Linked DNA regions of Tamandua tetradactyla. The protein of the gene in region 2 purifies or fractionates together with the protein of the main gene of each other region. This does not show direct contact. Links are inferred from orthologs where the notes say so. Each region holds a gene or a part of one and is shown on either strand. Other genes may lie near its edges.

What was found.
Region 1: the proteins of GTF2H4 (region 2) and MNAT1 purify together in Homo sapiens (co-immunoprecipitation; 3 studies listed by BioGRID and IntAct, with this or other methods). This does not show direct contact. The link is inferred for Tamandua tetradactyla from reciprocal best matches to the Homo sapiens genes GTF2H4 and MNAT1.

What each region holds. Positions count from the first base shown.
Region 1 is NC_135338.1:4,164,965-4,172,806, forward strand, and holds the start of MNAT1 (CDK-activating kinase assembly factor MAT1), read right to left. Parts: upstream 3,079-7,842; 5' UTR 2,976-3,078; coding exon 2,887-2,975; intron 1-2,886.
Region 2 is NC_135331.1:85,836,102-85,843,938, reverse strand, and holds the start of GTF2H4 (general transcription factor IIH subunit 4), read right to left. Parts: upstream 3,032-7,837; 5' UTR 3,018-3,031; coding exon 2,784-3,017; intron 2,168-2,783; coding exon 2,025-2,167; intron 1,754-2,024; coding exon 1,649-1,753; intron 1-1,648. UniProt on the Homo sapiens protein: Component of the general transcription and DNA repair factor IIH (TFIIH) core complex, which is involved in general and transcription-coupled nucleotide excision repair (NER) of damaged DNA and, when complexed to CAK, in RNA transcription by RNA polymerase II.

The sequences.
Region 1 (7,842 bases), on a different chromosome or scaffold from region 2:
TAAAAGAAAATACAAGGCAAAAAAACAAACAAACAAAAATTTTAAAGCCACATACTCTAAGCCAACAAATCCACTCCTAATCATTTATCCTATCATTTACATACTATATCTGATAATATACTTGCATTAGTGCTCAGAGATGTATGTCTAAGAATGTTTACTCGGGTGAAAAAACTGGAAACCTAAATGTTCACCCAAAAAATGATTGGTTAAATTGTAATATAACTGAACAATGGAATACTATCTAACAGTTAAAATTAAAAGACATTCATGGTGTTTTAGAAAGATATTCAACTTAATGAAAAAGCAAGGATACAATATGATCTCACTTATGCTTGGGTAAGAAGTTTTTCTATCTAAACACACGCACATGATTGTATACACATAAAAATTGTCCAGAAAGCTACACGAGCAATTTAGAAATTGTTAGTTCTAAAGAAGTGAGCCAGAGGGCGGGCCATGGTGGCTCAGTAGGCAGAGTTCTCGCCTGACATGCCGGAGACCTGGGTTTGATTCCCAGTGCCTGCCCACGCCAAAAAAAAAGGAAAATAAAGAAGTGAGCCAGAGAAATTTTACTCTTCACTTAATACTCTTATGTTGCTTTAACTATTAATTGCTTATGTGCATTTTTAAATTTTTTAACGAATTATAAAAAAAAGTAAGTAAGCGCTCTCCTACAATCAATGAGCAGAATTTTAGCCTAGATTAAGGTCTTCTTAGTAAGGACAATGAAACAGAAAACATGCTGAAGAGTTAATATTAAGAAAATTACAATAAGACCATTATAATTAAAGCTACATTTTCATAGTCTATTGAATCCATTTAAAGATAATCATTGTTATACAAATCTTTCATAGGAAGCCAAATGACTCCTGTTTTAGTTTCATTACCGGATATTACCCATACCACCCACAAATAATATGATAATACGCTAATCAATATATATCGAACACCAACTAGATGACAGATACTCCACTAAATATCTCCAAATGTTTTACAAAGATTATTTAATTCTCAAACATTGTGATACAGGTAGTACTGTATTATCTCTATTTTACAAATAAGAAAAATGAGGCACAAGGCATTAACTTGCCCAAATCCTCAGAGAGGAAAATATTCAAAATCAAGCAGACTGATTCCAGAATTTGTTCTCTTAGCCAATACCCTAGAATGGCATTTTGAATGACCCTTTACTTTAGTATATATTCTCTTGAAGTCAGGAGATAATCTTTTATTCATTTTCTTCATATTTCAAGTCAAAAAACGACTGCAAAGTGTGGTCTGTACCTAGTACGTTAAAAATAAATCAAAATAAATGCAACACCAGAATCAATTAGATAACTTTTACCCTTATGAGAAAATAAAAAGGACTAAGGACACAAATGGAAGCAATTTCCAATTAAAACTAATTTTATAACTGTCTAATTACTATACGATTGATTTTACTGAAATCCCATAATCTTCCCTCATAAGCTAACTGCTGCTAGGCAGAAATTTCTTCCAGTCAATTACATTAATTAGCATTTCAAAAGAACAAAACAGGGGTGCACTAGTGGTTCAGTGGTAGAATGCTCACCTTCCATATGGGAGACCCGGACCATGCACCTCCCTCCCCTACCCCCACCCCCTCAAAAAAAAGAACAAAACATCTGGTCATCTACCTTTCCTTTAACATCAGTTGCAACAAATCTGATACTAGAAAATGGAGAAAAATAAAATGAAAACTTAATAGACTAATACTTAATAAGACTAAAAACTTAACAGTCTATCTGGACTGCTTGTTTTACTTCCCTTTTCCATACATTCTACTCGACTGTTTTTACCTTGTTTCTAACCTTAAACCATTCAGTCACAGCTCTACTGTACTTCCCCTACTGGATAACGCAAAGAAAATAAAGATTAATTACAAAAAGGAACCAATTGAGTTAATAAATTCCATTATAATTATTATAATTACAACTAATCATGCAACTTATGCTTACCTAAAGACCTTGTCTATAATACGGCAACTTATTCATCATCGAGCAACTGCAGGAACATGACATATGTTCCCGTCATATTGTAGATTTGATCCCAAAGTGCTTCACAGACAAGCACCTTCCTGAACCACGTCTGACCTTAAAAACTTGGGAAGGCACACTTTGACCCATTCCTGCACGGATGATTCAAAACACAGACGTTAAACCTCCCTCCTTCTCCCAGCTGCGCAAAACCAACCCCCCCCCCAAAAAAAAGTGGGCGTTCTGGAACCAGACTTCCGGGGTTCCAATTCCAGCAGCGCCCACTTAATAACTGGCCTTGAGTCGTCTCGACTTATTTCCCTCTGAAATGGGAAGAGCAGTCCCTACTTCGCAGGGCTCCTGGGGGAATGAAGTGAGCTAAGGCGTGGAAAAGCGCTCAAAACCGTGCCGGGTACCGGGAGGGCGCTCGGCGAAGACCAGCCTTTACTAAGCCTCCCCCATTCTCCCTGCTGGGCGGTAAGGGTCTAACCCGAGCCCGTCGGGACAAGACGCGGTTTTCAGAACAACTCGTACAATGCGACGAGCTGCAGCACACGGCAGGGTCATTTCCACTTTCCTAGCGCGTTCGCTCTTTAAGAAGAAAAGCGCTCCCTGTGACACTCCCCTCGCTTCCCCCCGCGCTGCGTCTGGGATCCCGGTGGCCGCCCAGAGCCCGGGAGCACCGTCGCCTAGCAGAGACCCGCCCAACCGCCGGCGACCGGCGGCCGCAGCCCTGCAGGCCCGGGCGGTTCGGAAGGCCAAGCTCGCTGTCCCCGCTCTCCCGCTCCGTGTCCGCACCGCGGACGCCCCGCGCCCGGCGCCGGGGCCGCCATCCCTCAGCCTCGCCGCCCGCCCCGCGCGGCCCTCCCGCCGCCGCCCCACTCACAGCGTGTGTCCGCACACGTTCACCATCAGCTTCAAGGAGGGGTTCCGGTACTTGGTGGTCTTACACCGGGGGCAGCCCTGGTCGTCCATGGCGCCTTCTCGCCGACCGACGCTCCCCGCCGCCGGCTTCGGCCACACGCGCTGCCACAGGTCCCGCCGGTCCCGACGCCCGGCGGCTTCCTACCCGCAGGCGCTCGGCAGGAACGGGTCCTTCGGAAAGGGGCACCGGCGAGAACCCGGCACCGCGGCACGGGCGTTCCGGAAGCCAGGTCTCCGGCTCTGCAGCCGGGGGTCGAGCTTAGCCTTCCGGAAGCAGCGCAATATTTTGGATTTCGGGGGTAAAAAGTTTAAAGGCAAATGGTATACAAAGTCTCATCTCTGTGCATTTAGTCTCATGTGCAAGTACGGAGTCATAATTAGGGAGATAAATTGCATCGATCTATCAGGAAACATTCCCATGATTTCATGTATACATGTGCCTGGAGTCTTCATAATTAAGAGTGATATTTTCTTTTGAACAGTTTCAGCCTGTGCTTTATACTTTTCCTTTATACTTGCAAAGCTATGCAAGCACAGAAAATACTCTGCATTTGCAGATATGAAAAGTTTGGACAAGTTATCTAGAACAGTCATCTCTGCAAAGACCCTAAATATTACAGATTCTCACTAAACGTCAGAATACTTATACAAACAATGTGTCATATGCTCTTCAGAGAGCCCCTTGTCTCAAGGTTGTCAAATATGCCTAATGGTGTCACGTGACCCTAGTATTCCCCACCCCCCTCAGACAACAGTTATTTCCCCCCAAATACTGAAAAGGAAAATAAACCCTATGAGAATGCACAAAACTTTATTTGAGCATTTCCAGGATATGAGAACCTGAATCTCTTTGGAAATTGTAAGCCACCATTCATTACATTTATCAAAGTCTATAAACAGCTGTAATAGATTAAAAAAAAAAAAAACTTCCCACTATAAATAAAGGACATCTTATTCACCTCCATAACAGATACTCAACAAGGATTTGTTGATGCTTATTAAATAAGCAGAGTAAATGAAGAATGAAAGACCAGAAAATAACAGTGTAATGCAAAGTTTTTTATGCCAAGCATAATCTTATAGTCACATTCATCTAACACAAATTCCACCAGGACAAACAGGCATACTTTTTTCAAATTAACCCGTACAATGAATAGCAGCTGCACACACTCAGTAATTTTAACTTTTCATAGCACTTTCACTTGTTTCAATAAAAACAAAAAGGAACACTCCAACTCACAAACTTTTCAACACTGAACCCAGCTGGTAACCGATAAGCAGGAAAAACAATTGGGATTTCAGGGGTGTGAAGGGGGGAGCTTGACAAACAGCTGGATGCCACATCTGGGAACCAGCAATTCAAAGCAGGCCAGGGCAGAGCAGGGCTTTATATTAGTATAGGACATCCAGGGATTCACCCAATAAATTAGCCATGTCATCTCCTTGATCATAAAATTTTTCATTAAGAGGAGCTAAGAAACTGTAAGTTTAATAAAATAGGCAGCCCCGAATGCTACGTTGACCTAGAATTTTATTGTGCTTCTACTGACATATTGAAAGAAGCATAACGTCTTATTGAAAGACAGTACATTGTTTCATCCCAACCAGCTGCATGACTCAGAGTGAAGTTCTCCAAGAACAAAAGCAACTTTTAAGAGCTTTATATTTTAACAGAGCAGGAAACTCCTGGGGACAGAATGAATATGGTCAGTAAGCAAATAAAATTTTGAACCAATGCTACATTAAGAAGTCATCCACTCAGTTGGCATTATTGTTTAATACCACCAGGACACTTTCAATCAGGTTTTTACACAGGTGACTTCAAGCACATTGTGAAGTGAATTGCTTTTGGTTTCTCCCAAGCTTTGAGATCAAGATAAAGAAAGCAGGAGTGCAGCTGGCTGGGAGGGGACTGTAAGAGGAAACACTGCTACTAGCTTTATCCTGTTCTCAGATGGTAAACTACAACCAGGGAGCATTGGTGGTTACAGCTGACTTGGACCTATTAGACAAGATTTACCTAAGGTGCTGGAGGCAGTATTTAGTACTTAGAAATTTGGCATCTGGCACCAAGAGAGCTGGATTCAAGTGCTGGCTTCTTTATTTACCAGCCATGTGACCTTGGGCTTCAGCTGGAGATAAAAATTAAATGAGAGGGTGCACAGGGCTTCAGCTGGAGACAAAAATTAAATGAGAGGGTGCACAGGTGGTTCAGTGGTAGAATGCTCACCTTCCATGCAGGAGACCCAGGTTCGATTCCCAGACCATGCACCCCCCCCAAAAAAAAATTAAATTATATATTTCATTAAAAGCTCTTACCACAACAAAGCTACAGTAAAGAAAACAGCATGCACTGGCACAAGGACAGATGTACAGACAAATGAAATCAAATTGGGAGTTCAGAAATAAATCCTCCAACCTAAACCTATGGCCAACTGATTTTTGACAAAGAGGCCACCACATCCACTCAGTGGGTAAAGAACAGTCTGTTTAGCAAATGTTGCTGGGAAACATGCATATCCATATGCAAAACAATGAAAGGGGACCCCTACCTCACATCATATACAAAAATTAACTCAAAATTGATCAAAAACCTAAGTATAAGAACCAAAACTATAAAATTCTAGGGAAATATCTTCATGACTTTGTGTTAGGCAGTGGTTTCTTAGACTTTACACCAAAAGAACAAGCAACAAAAGAAAAAATACATAAATGGGACTTCATCAAAATTTAAACCATTTGAGCATCAAAGAACTTTATCAAGAAAGTAAAAAAGAAAACCCACAGAATGAGAGGAAATATTTGGAAACTATTTATCTAACAAGGTTTTAGTATTCAGAATATATAAAGAACCCCTACGATTTGACAACAAAAAAAGACCAACACCCAATTTTAAAATGGGGAAAAGATTTGAGTGGACATTTCTCAAAAAAAGACATATAAATGGCCAAAAAGCACATGAAAAGATACTCAACATCATTAGCTATCAGGGAAATGCAAATCATAACCACAATGAGATTCCGTTTCACACCCACTAAAATGGTTACTATTAAAAAAACAAAACACAAATGTTGGACAGGATGTAAAGAAATAGGAACCCTCATACTTTGCTGATGGAGATGTAAAATGGTGCAGCTACTGTGGAAAACAGCTTGGCAATGCCTCAGAAAGTTAAACTTAGAATTACCGTATGTCCCAGCAACTCCACTTTTAGGGACTACCCAAAAGAACTGAAAGCCAGGACTCGAACAGTTATTTGCACATCAATGTTCATAATGGCATTATTCACAATTGCCAAAAAGTGGAAGTAATCCAAGTGTCCGTTGCTGAATGAATAAAAAAAATGGATATGTATATACCACATATATTATTTGTCCATAAGAAAAGAATGAAGCTATGCATGCTTGAAATCATCATGCTGAGTGAAATAAGCCAGATACAAAAAGATAAATGTTGTATGATCTCACATATGAAAAAAGCAGAATATGCAAATTTATAAATTCAGAACCTAGAATACAGGTTACCTGGAGCCCCGCGGAGATGGGTAATGGGGACTTAATGTTTAATTGTTTGTGGAGTTTCAGTTTGAGGTGATGCAGAAGTGCTGACAATGAAGATGGTGATAGATTCACAGCTTTGTGAATGTAATCAACACCATGAATTGTATACTTCCGAGTATATTAAATGGGAAAATTTTAGATTATATATAAATTACAAGAAAAGAAATAAAACTGTACAACACAAAGAGTTAGCCCTAATGTAAACTATGGGTTATATTTACTAGTGTAATTATAATAATAATGTTTCATCAGTTTTAACAAAGGTATCATACTAATTGTTAATGAAAATTAACATACAAATCATTAATAACAGAGAAAATTGTGCATGAGAGAGGGCGTGTATGGGAAGTCTATACTGTGTGCATGATTTTTCTCTGAACCAACACTGCTCTAAAAATAAATAAACCCAAAAAAGAATTGCTTAGCATAGTACCTAGCACAGAGGAAGCGCTCAATAACTGTTAGTTAATAAATACTAGTAGTACTATCTAAAACAGGCCATATAGTGCAATAGGAAGAGTCTGGGCTTCTTTGAAAGGAGACAGACCTGAGTTTAAGCCAGATCGTTTATCCTCTTTCAACCTCAGATTCCTTCCTCCATATAATACACTTCACTGTGCTGTTGTGATGACTAAATTACATACTGTGCGTGCCTCACATGTAATAGGAACTTTGAAATGTGCACCATTATTCCTGGCACATTTCACTAACATAGAATGGTCAAAGAGCTTTGAGGAGGAAAGCACTAAAATACCAGATTTCAGATTCATGAATTTTGAAAGTGTGGTAAAATTCTAAACCCAAATAAACCTCAGCCAATGTAGAAAAACCAGCAAGCCATCAAATTTACTACATTTCTGAAGACAGCTGTGTCTGAACAGTGGGCCAATTGGAATCCATTATTTCTCTTCCTGCATCTCTGCATCTCTCTCAGTTAGCAGTCAGTTCTTCTTCCCAGGGACGCTGTTTCCCAAGCGCTGATGGTGGTTTCCAAGGCTGCCGACTTCAGAGGAGGAAAGTGTCCCTTTCCTCATCTGAAAGTAGGTAGGCTCTCCTCATCTGAAGAGGACATTTATTGTTTGCCCCTTGATTAGCAATAGCAACCCCCATCCCTTCTTTTGGAAAATAGCTCCTCACCCACACAGCTGGTGGTTCTGTTGGGACTACCCCATCACAAGGCTAGCCTTTCAGCCCACAGGTTGACACACAACCCTTCTGAACCCATCAAAGACCGTCCCAGGAATTTGTCAAATGGAAGTAAGGTAAAAGACTCTTTACTTATAATAAATCTTACCTTCCCATTAGATTTTAAACTTCTCAGGGTCAGGGACTCCAACACATTCAGCTTTCTATCCTTT
Region 2 (7,837 bases):
TAAGACAAATTTCTTTACTATAAATTTCCTTTACTATAAGACTTAAAAGTCTATACATGTCATGACTTGCTCTATTGCCAAGAAGAAAAATACAGTAGGCAGAGTTTCTTAAAATTACTTAATTATGAATTTTGTAGTATACCCATTAATATTTCCTGGAAGTGACCCAAGAAACAGCAGTTCGGGAAATACAGCTGTTAAGAAATGTGTATCTAGATAGAGGAAAATGTTGGGAGATATCTTATGAATCTTACAACTGGAGGTGGTTTTATGGACCTTAAACCTAAAGCAAGAACACTGAAGAAGGAAATAAATAAATGGGAGCTCCTCAAAATTAAACACTTTTGTGCATCAGAGAACTTCATCAAGAAAGTAGAAAGACAGCCTACACAATGGGAGACAATATTTGGAAACGACATATCAGATAAAGGTCTAGTATCCAGAATTTATAAAGAGATTGTTCATCTCAACAACAAAAAGACAGCCAACCCAATTACAAAATGGGAAAAAGACTTGAACAGACACCTCTCAGAAGAGGAAATACGGATGGCCAAGAGGCACATGAAGAGATGCTCAATGTCCCTGGCCATTAGAGAAATGCAAATCAAAACCACAATGAGATATCATCTCACACCCACCAGAATGGCCATTATCAACAAAACAGAAAATGACAAGTGCTGGAGAGGATGCGGAGAAAGAGGCACACTTATCCACTGTTGGTGGGAATGTCAAAGGGTGCAACCACTGTGGAAGGCAGTTTGGCGGTTCCTCAAAAAGCTGAATATAGAATTGCCATACGACCCAGCAATACCATTGCTAGGTATCTACTCAAAGGACTTAAGGGCAAAGACACAAACGGACATTTGCACACCAATGTTTATAGCAGCGTTGTTTGCAATTGCAAAGAGATGGAAACAGCCAAAATCTCCATCAACAGAAGAGTGGCTAAACAAACTGTGGTATATACATACGATGGAATATTATGCAGCTTTAAGACAAGATAAACTTATGAACCATGTAATAACATGGATGGACCTAGAGAATATTATGCTGAGTGAATCCAGCCAAAAACTAAAGGACAAATACTGTATGGTCCCACTGATGTGAACAGACATTCGAGAATAAACTTGAAATATGTCATTGGTAACAGAGTTCAGCAGGAGTTAGAAACAGGGTAAGACAATGGGTAATTGAAGCTGAAGGGATACAGACTGTGCAACAGGACTAGATACAAAAACTCAAAAATGGACAGCACAATAATACCTAATTGTAAAGTAATCATGTTAAAATACTGAATGAAGCTGCATCTGAGCTATAGGGTTTTTTTTGTTTTTGTTTGCTTGTTGGTTTGTTTGTTGTTGTTTTTTTTTACTATTACTACTACTTTTATTTCTTTTCTTTACATTAACATTTTATATCTTTTTCTGTTGTGTTGCTAGTTCCTCTAAACCGATGCAAATGTACTAAGAAACAATGATCATGCATCTATGTGATGATGTTAAGGATTACTGAGTGCATATGTAGAATGGTATGATTTCTAAATGTTGTGTTAATTTCTTTTTTTTTTTCCGTTAATAAAAAATAAAAAAAAATAAAAAATAAAAAAAAAAGAAATGTGTATCTATCTGAGGATGCATTGGAAACTCACTTGCTAAATTCCTTCTTCACCCACAGGGCTACAGCAGCTTGTGGTAAAGGCTGTTCCAGAAAGAGCATACGCATAACCCAGTTCTTAGCTAAAGATGGGAGCTCCCTGTAGAAAGTAGAGGTCAAATGTTATCATCAGAAGCTGATTTATATCTATAATTGCCTCCAAGAACCTCTCAAATATTTCATCTCACCTCCTTACACACACAAATACAAGTCCTTACAAGTGCCGGTGCCCCCCAAATCTCAAAAGTCCATTCGTTTTGGTCTGCCACCCTTTGGAGTAATCTCCAAGAACCCTCAGGGTTAACTTATTCCAGTCTGCAGGCTCCCATTACATTTCCCCACCATGGTCCTTGCCATGAAGAGGTCCTCACCTGAAGACAGCCAGACAGGTGGCAGGGTGCCCATACAATCGGTCCAATACCCCTGGGCTCAAACCCCCTAAGAATTCCTGCAGGTTCCGGCATTGTAGGTGTACTCGGTTCAGTCCACCCCGTGTGGGGGTGCTCTCCATCACCTGAGAGACGCCAAATATTAGAAGCACATCCCCACCATCCATGACTATGTCTCCCCTCACCTTTCTCATCAGAATTCCAGATCCCTCCACCCCTACCCCCACCCTAAATAACCCAGGTTTTCTGTGGCTCCCTCTTCCATATGCCACTCATCTCATGTTACTTCAAAATCTGACCAGCCTCCTCTCCTTTCCTGCCTCCTCAACCCACTTCTGTCCTCAACTTCAGTCTTCTCTGTTTCCAGGTGACAGAATTAATGATCATTTTGTATTTCAATGACTTGTCTTATCTTTAATTGAGCAGTTGAGCCCGATTTGCTTTCATCCCAGCCCCTCCTGGCCAGATCAACCTGTGAGATGCAAATCTGTCAGTCCTTCCCACCTTCTATTTCTTCGCCCTGCGTCTCTTGCTAAGCATCACAATAAACTACCTCTGCCCTCCATGTCTCGCCAATCGAATTCCACCTTTCTCCCTCCCCCCCAAGTCTCTTTCACCCCATTCACTCTGACCCCACACCGTCCTATGTCCTAACTTTTCCTCTACTTTCCTCCCACTCCGCGCCTTTCACCCAACTCTGCCTGATACCTCCGCCACCCCACCTTCCCAGGGCTGCCTCACCACTTTGTTGATCCCACCTCGTGCACCCCGAGTCTCGAGCGGTCGCTTAATCGGAGCCAATGTTTCGCAGTAGCTCCTGGGAATAGGGGAAAGAATGGTGAAAAATACGAGAAAAAAAAAATGGGGAGAAGAACGAAAGACTCCACAGACAGGAGCCGAGAGGGACGGATTCAGAAGAGGAGTGGAAAAGTGGAAAGGCAAGAATAAGTGCTGCACCCGCCTGTCGCGGGGCATGCTGGGAATTGGAGTCTGGTCCTCGCTCGCTCCCATCGGGCTCGCACGCGCATGACTACAACTCCCGACAGGCACCGCGGAGAAGCGAGCCGGGGAGAGGCTGGTTTTAATGGAGAGAGCCGAGGACGCCAGGCCGGGCCGATTGGTTCCGCTGCTCACTCCGCCCACGCTGATAACGGCGCTGCTCACCGGCCTTAGCGGGAGGCGGGACCCGGGAGTAGATGGGCCGCTTGGAGGAAGCGCGCTGAGATGCGGCGGCGGTGAGACGCTTAGGCTTATAGATACACGAAACTGGGTTCCTTGAGCTCATTTACACCCCCCTAAAATTGTCATAAAGCACACTCCTAAAGTGTTTTCGCGAGTTAGGTGTTAACACGACCCATTACGCCTTACTTGGCATGTAAATCTTAATTTCCACCTCCACCACGCTTACACCGTTTATTAGAAGGTCCTGATAAATACAATTTCTTAAAGAAGCCAGTCGTTTGCTCTGATTTGATTTTCGAACCTACTGCAGGGAAAGGGAAAGGAATGTCTTCAGTCGAGACCAGAGCTACGCGTTTCCCCAAGTTTCTGTGAGGCGACCTTTGTTCTTTCCACTTTACAGACGAGAAAACCCAAGCTCAGCGAGATGAAGAAATTTGCCCACGTATGAGACAGCTACGAAGTGATGAGGCTGGGTTTTGAGACGCGTTTACAAGGAAGCGAGGGACCGAAGACCAAAATGCTAAGGACAGCCTAAGACTTCGTTAGCCTTTGCAGCTGGTACATGTTATCTTCTTGTTCCCTGTTTCTGTGGCAGTCAGTGTTTAAAATCCTCAAAGCATGACAGAGAACTGATAAAGCTTCTTTATGGCACAAGGTAAAGAAAGTCAAAATACAAATTATAGCCTGGGAAGAAATGTTTGATAAAACAGATAAAATGCAGAAAACTTACAGAGCAGTAAGAAAAAGGAACAGTGCAATGAAAAGATCTGCAAAAGAGAGGAACAGGCAAAAAGCAGAAGAAATACAAATGCCTTATAAATAGAGGAACAATTTGCAGCTTCACTAGTAATTAAGGAAAAGTAAATTATGAAACAAAATATGGTAAATTAAAGAGACAATAAAATGTCAGATTAGGAAAAAAATGAAGTTAAGGGTTGACAACGTCAGTGCTGGCCAGGATGTAAGAGCATACACATACACTTGTGTTGAAGATTGGCATATGCACGCCTTTTTAAGGGTAATGTGGCAGTATCTAGCAATATTTTAATGTGACTTAGCAACTCCAGCTTTAAGGATATATCACACTGAAGTTCTCCCACATGGGTGCAGGAATATACATGCAGAGATGTTTAGTGAGGCATGTTTGTTGTTGTATTATGAAAGCAATGGAAACAACCCAGATGTCTGCCCTCGGGGTCGGTTATATAAAACGTGCATAGTCCCAACAATGTAAGATACTGGGCAACACTTTGAAAGGAGGCCAGGTATATTTAGTGGCCTGGAGCTATCTATGGCCTATCAGCAAGGGGAGAAAAGCAGATTACAAAATGGTGTACATAAATTAATGGCACCTTTGTAAACAGATTTTAGGCATGTGTAAAACTGAAAGGCCATTTGGTTCGTTTTGGAGGGAGCAGACAAAGGCCAACTGGGCAGACCTCTTGGCGAGCCCTGCTCTACGGGATGCAGTGGGTGAGGGCAAGATGTCCAGTGGCAGGAACTGAGCACATAACTGTTCCTGGAACTGAACTTAAGGAAGAAAATCAGCTTGCTGGGCCTGACAGGGGGCCTGGGGGCTGAAATTGTGGAAGGAGCTCCCTGATAGAGGGTTGTCCAGTCTGTGCTTGGAAATGCCCTGCTATGGAGAGCTCACAACCTCCTCCCAACAGACAGCTTCCTGGACAGAAAGAACATAGAGCCACCCTTTAGCATGCTTCCCACCCAGTGCCGCCATCTGCTGGCTATGCAAGTTTAGGCATGTTGCTTAACCTAATACTCTTCATTGTGAAATAAGTAGGATACCTAACAAATATTCATCATCATTACTGATTTCTATAACTTTCACGTATTGACCCTGGTTCCCTAGCTACACAGAGTAATCCAATCCCTTATATTAACCTTTAGATATTTGACAAAAGTTCTTTCTTTCAACCAGTATTTACTGATACCTTTCAACCAGTATTTACTGAACTTGCCCTTGTGGAGCTTAGTCTAGTGGGAAAGGCAGGTATAAGAAAGTATATGTGCACAAATACATGTAAAATCGCACCTGTAAAAGTGCTACAAAGAAGAGATTGATGGGCTCTGAGAGTATCAGTAGAGGATTTGACCTGGTTAGGGAGGTGAGGTACGGCTGCTGAAGGGCAAGTAGAAGTTAACAGGACAAAGACAGCAGGCACGGTCCAGCTGAAGGAATAGCATGCTACAAAGGCTCTGGGCAGGAGGAACTGTGACATGTTGGAAGAGCTGAAAGAAGGCTAGGGATGCCTAGAGGAGAGGTCAGAGAAGGACTCTAGAGAGGTAGGTGTGTGTGGCCCACACTTGGCCAGAAGATGTTATTTTTTATTCTAAGATCAATGGTTTTGAAATAAAGGAGCAGAGTCGGACATGTGTGTTTTGTTTTGTTTTTTAATTACTCTGGCTGCAGTGCCAAAAGGAAACCACAGCGGAACAGGAGCAGATCTGGGGGTGACCGGCTAGGAGACTGCAGCGGTTCAGGCAAGAGGGCGGTAGCCCGTGTCGGGACAATGATGGAGATGGTGGGAAATGAATGAGTTAAAGGGAAACTGGGGCAGCATAATCAACAAGTCTTCATGGACAGACTGGACTTGGGAAGTGAGAGTAAGGGGGGAGGAGGTGTTAAGAAGAACTGCCTGGTTTCTGGCTTGTCCAGTTGAGTGGATGATGATTTACTGAGTCAAGAAACCAGGGAGGAGGAACAGGTTTGGACATGCTGAAATTGACATTCAAATAAACTTCAGGTGGTTATTGAGGTCTAGAGCTCAAAAGAGAGTTCCAGGCTTACCGCTATGGCTTCCATTGCTCGCCGTTCTGGGTCTGGCCTTGAAACTCCAACCTGTGGGCGCCCGTCTTAAATTGTGGTACACAGTGGTCTGACCTGTGTAGGTTTCAGTAGGACTGTTAGACCTGACCCCCGAGAGCCTGTTCATTCAACGTAAGACTAAAGTATCTTTTATTGGTGTGCTCATTATCCAGTTGACTCGCTTTGAGAATAGCATCAACCAAATACCCCAGGGTCTTTATTTCTCATGAACTGCTAGCAATACGTGTCTGCCCAGTCCGATACTTGCAACTATTTTTGGTGGCTGTTTTTTTTTTATTTATTATTATTTTTTTACCTCCTCCCTTTCCAGCCAAATCTGTACTCTTTGTTAAATGCTCTCTTGGTGGTTGTGACTCATCCTTCCAGGCCTCTGAGATAATTTAGGCTCTGGGTTCTGGCTTCTATCCAAACAGTTCGAACCTATTGGGCTATTTGTACAGTTCATCAGCCTAATCTAAATTAGGCTGGACTTCACCTGGACCTCCCAGATCCTGAGAGGGTCCTAGAATTTGGGTAAGAAAAAAAGGTTACACCTTTGTTTTTCCTAACCTCTGACTGAAACACTTCCTTCAATTATGAACATAGAAAACCCCACTGAAAATCAGTACCTGTGGCTTGTCACTAATAGGACATCACAGGTATTTTTATATCTCATTACAGCTGTTGTGGAACTCTCAAAATATTCTTCATGCTCATGGGCACATGAAAATGTCAGCAGTTAGCACAACTCCTGCTGGATGTTAATATTAAATATATTTAAAAGAAACATATACTACTGCATCACCTTTCAAAAAACATTTTGGTAACTGTTTCAATTAGTTTTCCTTGTAATCCTATGTATTTGTCTTATGGGTTTTAAAAGTATGATTCTGAAGAAGAATCCGGAGGCCTCTGCAGAGTGCCCAAGGGGTCCGAGGCACAGTAAAGGTTAGGGACCCCTGGCCTAATCCACCTCCCCAACCAGTGTGGGGGCCAGGTCTCCCACAGAGCACTGCCCGCTTCCCTCCTGGTTCACACGTCCACACATGCATGCATTCTAATCCACCTCCCCAACCAGTGTGGGGGCCGGGTCTCCCGCAGAGCACTGCCCGCTTCCCTCCTGGCTCACACGTCCACACATGCATGCATTCTCCCGAGGTCCCACAGGCAAGGGTCTGGGTTATATAGAAATAGAACCCAATACCGGGCAAACAGGTAGTTGGAAATGGGATGGGGAGGGGATGGAAAAGAGATGAGGGAAGCAAAGGAAATGGGTTGAGGGGGGTGAGGGGTACTGGAGGCAGGTTTTACTGAAACCTCAAAAAACCCAACACACAGCTGTGGAAAACTCAACCTTTATTATTACCTGCCTAGCGCAGGGGATTAAAATTGCCTCAGCTAGGTCCATATATTAGTGTAAAAATCTGTGTCTCTCCCCCCAAAAATGTACAAACCCCAAGTGATTATAGAAAAACCAATGTGGCAGCTACTATAGAGATGTCCGTCCCCAGGGCCGTTGCTCCCTCTCTCCCCCTAATCCCAGTATTTATTCCACAGAAACATACAGGCGTAGAGAAATTCTAACTCCAACAGGGCAGGTGGGAAGCAGGGATAGTTGAGGGGTGGGAGCAGGGATTGCCCCAGGTCCAGTGTTTTAGGGGAGGGAGGAGGGAGAAGCCAATGTAGAGGACAATTCCAGAAGTGGGCGCAAGGGAACATCTTCCTCCTTTTCTTGTCCTCCTTGCCCCACACATTCTCAGCCAGTGGTGTCCAGTGTGTGACAGGAAGA